2 linked regions of the Canis lupus familiaris genome follow. The protein of the gene in region 1 binds, or shares a complex with, the protein of each later gene. Links are inferred from orthologs where the notes say so. Each region holds a gene or a part of one and is shown on either strand. Other genes may lie near its edges. The genes, in order: EXOSC8 and EXOSC5.

The links.
Region 2: EXOSC8 (region 1) and EXOSC5 share a complex: the UniProt entries of both Homo sapiens proteins name them as parts of the RNA exosome core complex. The link is inferred for Canis lupus familiaris from reciprocal best matches to the Homo sapiens genes EXOSC8 and EXOSC5.

The regions. Positions count from the first base shown.
Region 1 is NC_049246.1:3,767,783-3,775,311, forward strand, and holds the start of EXOSC8 (exosome complex component RRP43), read right to left. Parts: upstream 4,876-7,529; coding exon 4,850-4,875; intron 3,818-4,849; exon of another isoform or gene 3,294-3,817; intron 3,156-3,293; coding exon of another isoform or gene 3,083-3,155; exon of another isoform or gene 3,015-3,082; intron 2,482-3,014; exon of another isoform or gene 2,028-2,481; intron 1,963-2,027; exon of another isoform or gene 1,920-1,962; coding exon of another isoform or gene 1,903-1,919; intron 782-1,902; coding exon 745-781; intron 598-744; coding exon 534-597; intron 1-533. Other genes in the region: ALG5 (dolichyl-phosphate beta-glucosyltransferase), read left to right, coding at 3,090-3,155, 4,860-5,031, 5,417-5,463, 6,473-6,541. UniProt on the Homo sapiens protein: Non-catalytic component of the RNA exosome complex which has 3'->5' exoribonuclease activity and participates in a multitude of cellular RNA processing and degradation events.
Region 2 is NC_049222.1:113,381,686-113,389,193, reverse strand, and holds the start of EXOSC5 (exosome complex component RRP46), read right to left. Parts: upstream 4,683-7,508; 5' UTR 4,592-4,682; coding exon 4,444-4,591; intron 1-4,443. Other genes in the region: BCKDHA (2-oxoisovalerate dehydrogenase subunit alpha, mitochondrial), read left to right, coding at 5,082-5,189. UniProt on the Homo sapiens protein: Non-catalytic component of the RNA exosome complex which has 3'->5' exoribonuclease activity and participates in a multitude of cellular RNA processing and degradation events.

The sequences.
Region 1 (7,529 bases):
ATAACAATCTCTTGACAAAACATTACTGGATTCCTTTAGATATAGTAGAATTTGGCTGAAATATGTTTCAATGGCTCAGGCTAAAACTCAGGAATGTCATACAAGTTAAACTGGAAAATTCTGTGTTTCGAACAGAAAGTTTAATAAGACATAAAAAAAAACGTATCTTGGAGGCTTTGAAGAAAGAAGGGATAAAACACTACTGTTACTTCAAAATTTAAAAGAAGAACATTGACACAATTGACACAACAGTGAGTTTTAAAAACCACCAAAAAGAATACTTCTATTTAAAAAAAAAAAAAAGAGGGATGCCTGGTTGGCTTAGTAGTTGAGCGTCTGCCTTTGGCTCAGGGCGTGATCCTGAGGTTCTGGGATGGAGTTCTGAGGTGGGCTCCCAAGCAGGGAGCCGGCGTCTCTCTCTGCCTATGTCAACTGCCTGCCTCTCTATGTCTCATGAATAAATAAAAGCTTTAAAAACAGAAAAATTCTGAAGCAACTTCAATAACCTATTTTAGAACTCAAAATATCCTTACCTATGTTGACAGTTGTGGTTCTGAATTCACCAAGTTCTCTTCCATCAGGACGGCAGTTCTCTTTCTAAATAGACATTTACATGAAAATGGATTACATTTATACTTTACACACACCAGAGAAAAACACATTAAACCTCGTTAATTCACATAATTTGAAAAGATGCACATGATACTGTTATCAAAAGGTACAATACACATAACCTTTACTCACCAAAAATCTCCTGTAATACTCCAGAGGTTCCACAGTCCTGAAACATGTTAAAAACGTATCTGAGGTAAGTTAGTACATCTTAACATAAATCCAGAAACTGGCAAAGATCTTAGGAGTGTGAGGATGCAGCATAAATTTCCCCAATTTGTAACTTCCTTTCATGAATTCTGATGTTTATGCTGCCCCATACAACTATTAAAAGGTGCTCTTGCAGTCGTAATCAGACTCAACTGCTGTCCTTAACGCTACCTTAAACAAACACAGGCTGGAGCCCGAGCCTTTGGACATCTTTGGAAGAATTAATCCAATTATTACAAAATAATGATGTCACTTTCGCTCTGAAGCAGGGATTATCTCAACATGAGGAAAAATTACATCTTTATTTTCAGTGTCCTGTAACTGAAACTTAGCATATTCTTTAATTATGACCAAGGAAAGAAGCCTTTATATTAGTACCTGCAACTTAACAACCACAGAGGTTAAATGTTTTCGTTTTTACTTTATAGTTGTCGAAGGTCACGTGCAGACGCGTTACTCTGGAATTCAGGAGTTCCTAGACTCCCCACTAGCTAGAGCTTGTTTAAGAATGCTAATTTTTAAAGGAGCACATATATATCACTGTATCAATAACTCGAGAGTTTCTGCAAATAGATAACTGCGTCAATACGACGGTCTTCCTGTGGAATCTTATGTAGTTTACCCAATGAAAAATTTGTGAGGACAAAAATTTACGGGCTTCCCCAGAGTGACACCAAAAAAAGGCTCAAGTAAAACCTTCCCAACAAGGCACAATCCTTTTAGAAGGACGTCAGGGAGAGGGAGAACAGAGCGGCACGTGGTTCTGCCAGAACACCTATGAGAAGGCTACGACGCGGGCTCCTGGGGCCGCACGGCCGCCACACACGCCAGCGGCGCTCGCCTCGGCCCCGAGCTCCGCACACGGTCCCTTCCATCTTCCGTCGGACTGCGGAGAAAAAGCCCCCGTTCCTTTCGCCACGACCACCTCCAGGTCCTTCTGCCCGTCGCCTACTGCCGTGACGGAAACAAACCGGAATCTGGCAGGGTGGCCTCCAGGTGAAAAAAAATCCCAGCGAAGGGTTAAAGGGAGCCTCCAACCGCCAGAGTACAAACACGCGCCCGCCGGCCGCCCACACTCACTTGAACCCGGCCGCCATCTTCCCGCCCGCGCGCGTGCGCCTGCGCCAGGCGAGGCCGCGCCCCCGGGCCGCGCGCCTACCCCGCCTCCAAACTTTCGACAGACGCGCCTGCGCCCTTCGTCCGCTGCTGCAGAGGCCGAGGGCTGGTGGCCGCGAGGGGGTTCTCGTTCCGCCTCCGCTCGGAGGAGCCCAGCGCGCCTCTAGGCTTCTTGGCCTCGGACGCGTTTTGTCGAATCTGCTATTGGGAAAGAGACGGGTGTGTCTCTTTAGAAAAACGGTATGCTAGCTCAGGAGTTTAAGGGAAAGCCGACCTTATTGCCAGGAATTGAGTGAGTATTAAGTGTGGGGCATTATTCCAGAGCTCCTGCGTCCTTTCCCGCCTCTGTCTCAGGCTGGGCCCTGGGCGTGCCTCACCCCAAGGGAAGGGCTCCCTGGAGCTCCAGTTGCTGAGCAATCACGTAAACTCTGTGCGCGCTGGTGATCGCCCCGCGGTACACTCTGCGGGCCCCCGGAGGGGCTCCTGAGGAGCAGCTTGTGCCGTGGGCTGCGTTTGTTCTCAAAGCCGTCACCTCCCTCCTAGGTAGGTTTGCCAGACGGAATACAGAACATCCAATTAATTTTTAATGTCAGATACACAAGCTAATTTTTCCCCACTATGAGTATACCCCAAATAGTACATGTTATTAGTTGTTACGGGGCGGGGGGCGGGGGCGGCTGGGAGCGAAGAATGTTTTAGAAATAGATAATGGGTGCAGGAAATTGTGAATGTAACCAATACCACCGTATCGTACCCTTAAAATGGTTAAAATGGCAAATTTTATGCTGTCTCCGTTTTTAAAGACTCATGGAATACAATAAAACCTTTTTAATGGGTGGATTGCACGGTGCGTGAGTGCTGTCTTAAGACGGCTGTCGAAAAGCCGCTCACTGCCTACCTGAAATTCCGACTGGGTGGAATCCTGTGTGTGCCTGCGGGTTCTGTCAGCCCTGCGGGGAACCCGGCGCCCGCCTCTGCGCGCGAGCCTGGCCGCCAGGGACGGCGTGTGCGCCGCCTGGCCGCGAGGGGCGCTGTGGGCGGCGGGCGGCGGGCGGGCTCGGCCGCTCTGCCGGCGGGAGGCGGAGCTGCGCGGCGGCGCTTCCGCGTGTGTGTAGGCGCTGGGGAGGGCGCGCGGCAGCCGGGTATGGACGATGATTGCGCTCCTGCTGCAGCTGGCTGTGCTCGGCGTGGCGCTGGCGGCCGCCGCCCTGACGCTGGTGAGCAGAGGGCTGGGGACCGACGCGGGCCTGGGCTCCGTCCTCTCAGAGACTCGGCCGCCACGCAGCCTGTCCTCTGCCCCGCACGCTTCGACGCGTCCCTTTCCCCCCACGCTCTCCCCCGAAACTTGACCAGGATTTCCTCTCCTAGAACTTCACAGCCCCTTTCTTCCCTTCTTTGTCTTTATTTTGGAGCGTTACCTCCCTCTGCGGCCAGGCCCTTGTAACGTTGGTTCCCCGGGGGACGTGCGCCCCCGTCAGCCTCCACCGGCCCCGCCGCCCCCGACCTCTGCCCTGTCAGTCCCGACCTCTCCACCCCTTCCTCCTGCATCTGCAGCCTGTGCAGTTCCGGCTGCACCCGGGAAGGTCTCGAGCCCCCCCAGGAGGTTTGCGCTCCCTGGACTGACCCTCCTGATGCGGGGAAGCAACTAGAAGGTGGTGACAGCTTTGACGAGAGCCATCTGCTAGAGATTGGGGTGAATCAGTGGATCAAGAAGACCCAGGAGGGACACAGTAAGGCCGAGGCACGCAGGCCTGCTGTTACCGTTGTCTGGCAGTCCCTATGACCCGGGATTAAACACCCTAAATTCGCTGCCTCTAAAGGAGGGCACAGTAGAATTGAGACTCGGATTTTCTTTGCCATCACTCTGGAAACAAACATTGTAAGCACTTGCTGATTCATTAGTAATGGTTTGCCAAGTGAGCTTTCTCCCTTATAATTTGGAACGAGCCTGCCATCCAGTTAGTACGTGGAGAGGTTCCAGCTTCCTTGACACCCAGATTAGCCCCCCTGACAGCACTGCTGGGAAGGCCGTTCTTCCGCCTTGCCGGGTTTGCACACTTCACAGTTTAGAAATAACTTATAGAGAAAAAGCAACGTGTCCTGACTTCTTCGGTGATTTGTGTCGGGGTCAGAAAGGAGTCCTCTCTCTCCGTTAGGGGTAGATGGAGATTTCAAGGTTTTCTCAGGTTTTTGGTGGGGGCAGAGTTTTGACAGAATCCTAAATTGACTCTGTTTATTTGATCTATCTGTTTTATAGAATTAAATGGGTGCATTTTGAGGATGAACTGGAAGTATTTGATCCTACCAGCTTGTGATTATAAGAGCTACTATTTAGGGCACCTGGGTGGTTCAGCAGTTGAGCATCTGTCTTGGGCTCAGGTCGTGATCTCGGGGTCCTGGGATCGAGTCCCACATTGGGCTTCCCGCAGGGAGGCAGCTTCTCCCTCTGCTTATGTCTCTCTGCCTTTCTCTTTGTCTCATGAATAAATGAAAATAAAATAATTTTTTAAAAAGCTAACATTTATAGAGGACTTATAATTTGGGGGTATTGTATTCAATGTTTTATGTTGTGCGATCTTTAAAACAATGCTAAATGAATGTTGTCATCATTAGCCAGGGGTTGGAGATTCAGGGCATCTTAAAATGGATTGCACTTCTCTGGTGACTATTCCCTATTAAATCTGGGATGACAGAGGCCTAGGGATGACAGGTGGGAAGACACAGCTCCTAAGGCATTAGTTCCTACCAATGGAAGAAGGACAATTATTAGTTCATAAGTAAGGGATTTGAATTTGGTGTCACCTCCAGACCATTCTTAATGGACTAAAAACTGAGAGTGAACATTTAACAACAACAATAAAAATCACATAAATGATGTAATCTTACATAATATAGTTTCTTGTTAACATACCTACTTTTAGATTTCCTTTGTTGCATTTATAACTGCTACAAAAATGCCACATCTCCATCAACATGAAGAGGAGAAGTTCTTCTTAAATGCCAAAGGACAGAAGGAAACTTTGCCCAGCGTATGGGACTCGCCTACCAAACAGCTCTCCGTTGTTGTGCCTTCATACAATGAAGAAAAACGGTGTAAGCCCAATTTCATTTTTGGGATATGGGGCCATTGGGAAGAAAAGGAAATTTAAAGTATGAACTTTACTATCTTTGTGAGAACATTAGTAGATGTGGGCTCTGATGAGTGCATAGTTGGTAGTTGTAGTTCATGAGAGTGGAAACAAATGCCAGCTATAAAGAATACGGTCAGCATCATGAAGTCATAGGACTGAAGTGTTCTAGAGAGACATTAAGCTAGTTGTGGACAGAAAACAGGCCTTCTAGTTGGGAAGGGCCACTGGAAGAGGTCCGAGAGGGCTCTGTTAGACTATTCAGACTTTTTCCATATGTAAACTGAGTGGGGGCTTGGCAAATCATTTTCGAAAACAATTTTTCAGAGATGTATTTTTTTTTCTTTAAGTGCCTGTAATGATGGATGAAGCTTTGGGCTATCTGGAAAAGAGACAGGTACCATATTTCTCTTTCAATATGATGTCCCTAGTTAAAACTAGACTAAATCACCAATTTAGAGATCCCAGGCTAGATCTGTTGAGAGAGGCAGTGCCAGCCATGCCCAAGCCGTCGAGGTCACCAGGGCCTCCTGTGCTCAGCTTGTCCCCTTCCATCACGGGTTAGCATGCAAGCCCAGCACATGACACGCTACCTCCAGACGCACGCAGGTGGGTGAACCCAGAACAAACGGAAAGCAGAAATTTCTTATGTACCCTCCCAACCACTTTGTATGCTCTTGCCTGATGATATATTTAAAATTAAGTATGTCTGCAGACTGTGTGGCAACACGATGCTGTTTTTACTTTAGTGACTTTTTAAAACATTTATTTGAAAAAGACTTAGAGTGAAATTGTTTTTCTTTATTATTCAGAGGAGTTCCGCTCATTTATTTTCTCTACTTTCCCTGCATAAATAGAAGAAAAATAGTATGTGTCCTTGTTTTGTATCATCAGCTGCTGCTGGAATCTTCTTGGAGAGTTTAAGGAAACAAAATGAGCTTTGTGGCTGGTCCGTTTTTTTTTTTTTTTTTTTTTTTTTTTGGTCTGGCGGGGGTTTTTAAATGAGAAAACAGGCTAAAACTCTAACTCATCCAATATCATAAGTTAGAAATAGTGTGGCCAGATTAGAATTGCACATTCTAACCTCATGGGCTTTTTTTTCTCATACATATTTGTATCCTCTCTCATAAGTGCTCAGCACCACAAGCACCTGGCTACTCCACAGATTCGGTGTGGGTAGGCAGTCAAGGGGGGAGCAAGAGTCGGTGTTTGCCCTCTCCTCCTGTCCCACCACTCTCCTCCTTTTAGTTGTTGGCCTTTTTATTTTATGTGGTTTGCATACTTATTTATATTCATGTTAATATGCATCACACTAAAACAATTGTTATTTAAACTCCTTACAATTTTATCAGAATTCTTGATGCCACTTATGCCAAATTGTGGTGTTTTATTTTTGTTTCTTGCAGAAGCAAGATCCTACGTTCACTTATGAGGTGATAGTAGTTGATGATGGCAGCAAAGACCAGACTTCAAAAGTAAGTAAACTTGCTTTTAGGATTGCTACTAGGTAGAAAAGAAATAGAATAATTTGCAGTTGTTAAGTCTTACTTCAACTCATCAGAGAATGCTAAAGCTGTTGTCAGCACCCTCTACTTTACAGCATGAGTAGCCAAAACAGAAATTTCATCAATGGAAAGCTGGAAAATATACCTGCTGTTTCCTCACTCCTTAAGACCAGGGAAGCTTTGAAGATCACCAAGTCAGGAGAAAACATGCACAACAATTCACCATGGCCACTGGGAACCTTCTTTGCCTATCAATATTTGGTTCCTTTTTCCTAAACACAATTTTTTTTCTTTATGCTCCACCTTGCCTTACAGTTTCTAAAGTAATATGCAAATATAGGATGCCTTCATATCTGGCACTGGGTATCAGATATGTCCTTTAGCATACTTCCATCCAGATTTACCTATGGAAGGTAACAAGTGTCTTAGAGTATCATCCTCTCACATTCTTGCGTTCTTAGACCTATAGCTACTGAGCTGCTAGAAAAAAATAGAAGCTGGTCTGTCAGGAATGCAAACACCAGATGAGAATAATGTCACATTCCCTATGGAAATTAGGGTCCAAAGGAGAAAGTTATTGGGTGCCTGGCTGCCTCAGTCAGCAGAGCATGTGACTCTTGATCTTAGAGTGTGAGTTTAAGCCCCACATTGAGCATGGGGCCTACTTAAAAAAAAGGGGGGGGGGGGGCGGGTAGGACGCCTGGGTCGCTCAGTTGGTTAAGCATCCAGCTCTTGATCTCAGTTCAGGTCTTGATCTCAGGGTTGTGAGTTCAAGCCCCATGTTGGGCTCCACACTGGGTGTGGAACCTACATCAAAATAAAATAAAATAAAAAATAAAGAGGGTGCTGTTGATGAAGAGAGATAATATAGAAAAGCAATGTGGAAAAGCAAAGGGTATGGACCATAGTACAGTGGACTGATGACTGAGTGCTGAAGAGATGAACACAGCAAATACGT
Region 2 (7,508 bases), on another chromosome or scaffold:
GGGATCGAGCCCCAAGTGGGCTGATCTTCTCCTTCTCCTACTCCCCCTGCTTGTGCAAGCATGCACGCTCTCTCTTGCTGTCAAATAAATCTTCAAAAAATCCAAAACCAAACAAAGAAAGCCCCCAAAACCCCTGACTTCTGGTCCTGCCTGCTTCTTGCTAGCTCTGTAACCTTGGCTGATTGTACTCACTTCTCTTGGCCTCAGTTTTACCATCTGCAAAATGAAGAGACTGAACTACACCAGTGGCTGTTGAAGCTTTTCTTGCCATAACTCTCAATTAAAAAATGTATTTTCTGGCACCACCCCAAGTTCATGCAAATCTCCATGTGTGGACACGCAACAAAGGCCTCATAAAACGCCTCTTACCATCACTGCTCTGACACTCTAATGCTTTCTACTCTACTCTAGTTCATTTAATTTTATTTACTTTTTATTTATTTATTATTTATTAAAGATTTTATTTATTTATTCATGAGACACACAGGGGCGGGGGGAGGGGGGAGCAGAGACACAGGCAGAGGGAGAAGCAGGCTCCATGCAGGGAGCCCGATGTGGGACTCGATCCCAGGACTCCAGGGTCACACCCTGAGCTGAAAGCAGATGCTCAACTGCTGAGCCACCCAGGCGTCCCAACTTATTTACTTTTTTGATTTTATTTTTACATGGGGCTCAAACTCACAGCCCTGGGATCGAGAGTCGGACGCTCCTTGGACAGAGTCCGTCAAGCGCCCCTACTCTATTCCAGTTAAAAAGTACTGCCAACCGCAGCAGTGGTCCTGAACCCTGGCTGCACGCTCAGAATCACCGGGGCACTTGAAAAGACGTCCAGCCCCCTCCCCCAGAGATCCTAATTCAGCTGCCGGGTGGGGCATGGGCACTGGGAGCATAAGAGCTCCCACGGGTCATTCTGACGTGCAGCTGGGCCCACAGTCTGCAGTGGGAAAAACAGCGCTTGAGCACAGCTTCGAAACACTGCAAACAGAATCTCTGCAGCGGTTACAGATGGAGAGGGGCCAGCCTTAGCAGGTGTGCGGTGGATTCTGGGACCCTGCCTTTTTAACAACCCCATCAGAGATTTGGAGGCCAAAGGCGGGTGGGACGTACTTTCCAGGGTCTGCCAGGGGTCCCAGAGTTTGGGAGTTTTAGAACGTGGAAGGCGTTAACCCTCCTCAGTGTTTCTGAAGTCTAAGAAACTCCAGGCATATGATTTTAGCAGAAGAGCAAAGTCTCCAGGAGGGCCTGGGAAGGTCCCCAGGGTCAGGGCATGTTTCCTGGGTTGGGGAGAAGGAGCTGCACCAGAGCTGAGGGATTCTCTTGGCTCCAGGAGAATCTGCCCTCAGAGGGGAACTTAACCACACAGGACGAGATCCACACGTTGCTCTTCATTCTTTTCTGGATGAGCTGCCTGTGGCCCCCATGAACCTAGGAGATCCTCCCTCTCATCTTCTCAGGGACATGGCCCCAGCAATTTTCGGGAGCAATTCAAGGAATTCTATATTCTTTGGATCCACATCCATCTTCAACTCCTGCCCCATTTATCTGATCCTCTTCCAGCAAAGCTCTCAAAGACAAGTCTGACTTGCTGTCTTCTTCTCCTCCCTGACCCCACCACTCCACCAAACAGCTCTTGACAGCATCACAGATGACATAGGTCCGGACTGTCCACCGACAGGTCTGGAGGACGGATGCAGCTGGTGGGCCCTTACATCTCAAACACTTCTCTGAGCCCCTCTGAGGTCAGTGTCCTCTCTGGGTTTTCCTCCCACCTTATTGGCTGCTTTTCTCTGGTCTTTTCCTAGCTCCTCACAGGTTAGACAACCCTGGATTTAGTCTGTGACCTCTTCTCTTTCCACCTACACTTGTTCTCTTTATTTCATCCAATCAATAGTGTGAAACACCATCTATAGCCAGAGAATTCCAAATTATATATTTAGGTTGAGTCTCTCTCTTTTTAAGATTTTATTTACTTATTTGACACAGAGAGAGAGAGAGAGAGCGCGCACAAGGGGGGAGCAGCAGGCAGAGGGAGAGGGAGAAGCAGGCTCCCCACTGAGCAGGGAGCCTGATGCTGGGTGGGATCCTAGACCCTGAGATCATGACCTGAGCTGAAGGCAGATGCTTAACTGACTGAGCCACCCAGGCGCCCCTGGGTCTCTCCTCCCAAATGCAGACTTCTATATCCTATTGCCCTGTCCATATAGTCACTGTGATGTCCACCAGGCACTGCAAACTTAATGTTCCAAATTGAACTCCTTATCTCCCAGTACAGCTGATTTGGAAAAAAAATCTTGGTGTTATCCCTCTCCTTCTCACACTCCAACACTGAACCATCTGCAAGTTTTGTGTTTTACTTTCAACATACATACACCCAGAATCTCACCACCTCCACTGCTTCCACTCTGGTCTGAGCCACCGCATCTCCCCTTCTTTCTCATATCTATACAGTCAACACTGCAGCAGAGAGATTCTGTTAAAATATATCCAGATCATGTCAACCCTCTGAGCAAAACTTGGAAGCAGTGGCCCCCAGCTCATTCATTATGCATCACATGACAAGCAATCCTCCTTAGCTCTCCCCAGCCTCCTCACTGCTCTGGCCACACAGTCTACAGACTATTCCTCAAACACACCAGACAAATCCTTGCCTCAGGGCCTCTGCCCCTGCAGTTCTTCATCCTAGGTATGCTTTTCCTCCTGCTTATCTTCAAGGTTTGCTCCCTTACCTTTAGGTCTTTATTCAAATGTTACCATCTCATCAAGGCCTTTCCTGACTATCCGGTTAAGATCGCAACCCTCTCTGGCACACCCTATTTCCTTTCCCTACTATAATTTTTCTCCATAGGCATCTTCCGACATATTTTTTTTTAAAGATTTTATTTATTTATTCATGAGAGACACAGAGAGAGAGAGAGAGAGAGACAGAGACACAGGCAGAGGGAGAAGCAGGCTCCATGCAGGGAGCCCGATGAGGGACCTGATCCTTGGTCTTGAGGATCACGCCCTGGGCTGAAGGCGGCGCTAAATCGCTGAGCCACCCAGGCTGCCCTCCTACATATTTTTTTTTTAAAGATTTATTTATTTATTTATTTATTCATGATAGACAGAGAGAGAGAGAGAGAGAGAGAGGCAGAGACACAGGCAGAGGGAGAAGCAGGCTCCATGTGAGAGCCTGACGCGGGACTCGATCCCGGGACTCCAAGATTGCACCCTGGGCCAAAGGCAGGCGCCAAACCACCGAACCACCCAGGGATCCCCTTCCTACATATTTTACTTATCTTTTGTCTGTCTCCTCGACTAGAACATAAACTGTTAAGTCAGGGATTTAAAAAAAAATTTTTTTTAAGATTTATTTATTTATTCATGAAAGACAGAGAGAGAGACAGAGAGAGAGAGAGAGAGGCAGACAGAGAAGCAGGCTCCATGCAGGGAGCCGGAGGCAGGAGCCAAACCGTGGAGCCACCCAGGCATCCCTTTAAAATGTATTTTATTGGGATCCCTGGGTGGCGCAGTGGTTTGGCACCTGCCTTTGGCCCAGGGCGCGATCCTGGAGACCCGGGATCGAATCCCACGTCTGGCTCCCAGTGCATGGAGCCTGCTTCTCCCTCTGCCTGTGTCTCTGCCTCTCTCTCTCTCTCTCTGTGTGACTATCATAAATAAGTAAAAATTAATATAAAATAAAATAAAATGTATTTTATCCACGTATTCCCAGGACCCAGGACAGTGCTTAATGCGAATACACGTGTTCAATGAAGGAATGAATGAAAACAGGTTTTGTACCTGGGTAGAAGGTAATGCCCCTAGTGAGGAGGCTGAAGCATTTATGGGGGTGATTCTTAGGCTATCTTCAGAGGAATATTCACCCGGGGCAGGGAGCTGAGATGCATTTGGTCACGGGAAGGAGATATTTTACCCAATAGGGAAAGCCTGCCCCAAACCTAGGGATATTTACACGTATGGAGAGATGTGTATTGCTGTCAAAGGGATATATACCGCACAATCACTCTCAAATACTCTGAAAAGTATTTACCTGGACAAAAAGACATGCCCGCAGTCCAGAGAGTAATGAAGCCGGTAGTGTTGATTTGCGGGTCTATTTACGCGCAAGGGCAGGTTTGCCGCAGCCTGGCGTGCATGGACCCGGGGTGTCCGCGGGGGAGGCGGGAGACGAATTTAATCAAGGGAGATATTTACTCTGCTGAGCGCCTCTCTCCTCGGAGTATTTACCACGGTGGCGATACCGTCTCCCTTCTAGCCGGGAGCGCAGGATACGTTACTCCGGCATATCCGGGAGTATCCTCCCGGGCAAGAACTGCACCACCCGTGCAGGAGGGACACTTACCAGCTAGTGGCACTCCTCTGCACGGTAACCTGTAACCTTCCGAAACAAATACAACGTGGCGAACGTGGCACAGGCAGTATTTGCCTAGGGTAAGTCCTTACCTTGCAGGAAAGAGGCAGAGCCATCCGGCCGGGACAGCAGGTTCTGCTCACAAGCAAAGTGCCGGAGGCTGCAGCCCGGGCCCCGAGGGCCGGACTCTGTTCCAGACTCCGCGCAGGTCTTGGCGTCCGCCGGCAGCGCCCCCTCCATCGCCCCAGACCCCACGTGCCGCTGCGGAACCTCGCTTCCGCACGGGAGCGCGCGCGGGCGTCCAGCCTGCGTGCCCAGTGCGCACGCGCAGGTCCGGGGCGCCAGGACCCGTTCCCGCACGTGGCTCCGCGTTTACTAACAATCTGGCCCCTCCCACTCCCGCCTCGCAAGCCCATTGGAGAGTAGCGAAGAGAGGGCGGGCCTTGGCATGGACTCGTCCTACCCGAAGCCCCCGCGCCCTAAAGCCCTAAGGCTCTGGTCAGGTTGTCCTCTCCTTTGCCTGTTACAGAAACAACTAAGATGAGGTGATGAGAGTAATTTTGGCAAGCTAGATTGTTTGTTCCTCCCGTACCCGTGCCCTGGAGACTGCAGGGTGGGTCGCTGGTGGTTTCTTGGCAGGGCGGTGCTAGCATTTGAGTCAGGCTCCTGAAGGGGCAGCCCCCAGTCTAGCCGAGGAGAGGGGCGGAGCTCTGAGGGGTTGTGAGCCAAGATGGCGGTGGCGGCGGCGGCAGCGAGGGTCTGGGGCTCGAGTCGAGGTTTGGGCCAGGCTGGTCTCCTGCTCCTGCGCCGGCCTTGGGCTCGGGGGCTGGCTAGATCTGTGAGTACCTGGGGAGTTTTTCCCGAGGGAGAATAGGGATGTCAACGCCGTCTTCCGACGTGGGGTTCGTGCAGGGAGTGAGCGAAGGGCTGTCACAGAGGGGACCGGGGCTGAGAGAGCTGCTCCGTGAGGACATTCGGGAAGAACTTCCACTCCCTCAGGAGAGGAGAAGTGAGGCAGCCTCCTCTGTGGGCCCGGAGAGAGGGAGACAACTTGGAGAGAGAGAAGGGGTTCCGCTTTAGTTGCCACTCATGCCCACGGGAGGCCGCGTGGAGGGACACGGTGGGACGGCGAGACATTGCCCCGCAGGCGTTGGAGACTGCGACTGCCCGAGGCTGAGGCTTCCGGGTGTGGCTCCCCCTCAGGAAGGAGAAAAGAGAGATCAGCTTCTCCGACGCGGGCTTTTATAGTGCGCTGCGTTTGTTTTACTATTGTTCTTTTTTTTTTTTTTTTTTTTTTTGAGATTTTATTTATTCATGAGACCCAGAGAGAGGCTGAGGGAGAAGCAGGCTCCCTGCAGGGAGCCTGATGGGGGACTCGATCCCAGGACCCCAGGATCAGGACCTGGGCGGAAGGCAGACGCTCAACCACTGAGCCACCTGGTCATCCCACCCACATTTCTGGGTAACACTTGAGAGATGCCTCAATTCTTATCAAAAGTGTCAGAATTCCCTTGGGTTGATGCTGCAAACTGTAAGTTCACACAGCGGAAGTCTAACTTAGAAGCTCGTTCAGTGGGAGAGAGGCCTTGGGCTGCGGAACCATGAACTGAAATTTCCCAGGTCAGAGAGTAGTGTTTGGGAAGGCGGGTTCCTGTCCCCCACATGCTGGACAGAGGACTGCCCCTCCGGACCTCAACAGAGGGGCGCGTTCCCCTTTCTATAATGCTAACTGACCACCTCGTAGGGTTGTGGTAAAAATCAAGTATGTAATGTGCTGAGAACTGGACCTGGTATTTGATACAAGCAATAGGAATGTTGGTCACTGTTGTTGAAAGTGGGGGTGGAGGGAAGGGAGAGAAACTGACCTTGGAGATCAGGAGAAGAAAGGAGGTGACCTTGGTCGGACCTGAACAGGTGAGGGCCCTTGGAGGGAAAAGCGCCAAGATTTTGTGGGGTTGGGTCTGACCCTCTGATTCCCTAATTCATTAGGGAAGGAAGATAGAATCTATGGGAAAGACACTTTAGGGAGAAGAGCAGGGAAGGAGTTGGGGAGAGAGGATGGGCCAGGTTTGAGAGGAGGGAGAATAGGTAGGAAAAGGAGTCCTCAAAGCAGGTGATTATGGGAGGGTTCCTGGAGCAGGCTGGGGGTGGGGTAGCCTGGTGCCTTTAGGCGGTTCTTTGTCACTTTTTTTGGAATAATCAGATCCTGCCTGGCCAATCCCAGTCCTTCTTAGTCCATTGGCTGGGCCTGTGGGGAGGAGGTGGGCAGGACTAGGGCAGAAAGTAGGTAAAGGTCATTTGAGGCTGATTAAATGTTTCCTTCCTGGTTCCCTCTCCCTATAACTTTTCCCTCTTGACTCCCCTCTTTTTGGTGGGTGATGGGATAGGGGTTTTGGAGGGGGTCTTTCAGATATCTACCTTTTATTATATTTTATTTTAAATTTATATATTAAACAAAAATTTTTAAAAGGTTTTATTTATTCATAGAAACACAGAGAGAGAATGAGAGGCAGAGACACAGGCAGAGGGAGAAGCAGGCTCCATGCAGAGAGCCTGACGTGGGACTTGATCCAGGATCTCCAGGATCATGCCCTGGGCTGCAGGCGGCGCTAAACCGCTGCGCCACCGGGGCTGCCCTAAATTTATATATTTTTATAGTCTTTGTTTTTTTTTTTTTCTTCCCCACTTTTATTTTTCCCACTTATTTTTTGAAAAAGATTTTATTTATTTATTCATGAGAGACACAGGCAGAGGGAGAAGCAGGCTCCATGCAGGGAACCCGATGTGGGACTCGATCCCGGGTTTCCGGCATCATGCCCTGAGCCAAAGGCAGATGCTCAACTGCTGAGCCACCCAGGCGTCCCCCCACTTACTTTTTAAAAAGATTTATTTATTCATTCATTTATTTATTTATTTATTTATTTATTTATTTATTTATTTATTTGAGAGAGTGAGAGCACAGGTGGGTGAGGGGCAGAGGAAGAAGCAGGCTCCCTGCTGAGCAGCAAGCCAGAGGTGATGTGGGACTGGATCCCAGGACTCTGGGATCATGACTTGAGCCAAAGGCAAAATGCTCAACTGACTGAGCCACCTGGGCACCGTAAAATGTTATTTATTTATTTAGTCAGTAAGTAATCTGTACACCCAACATGGGGCT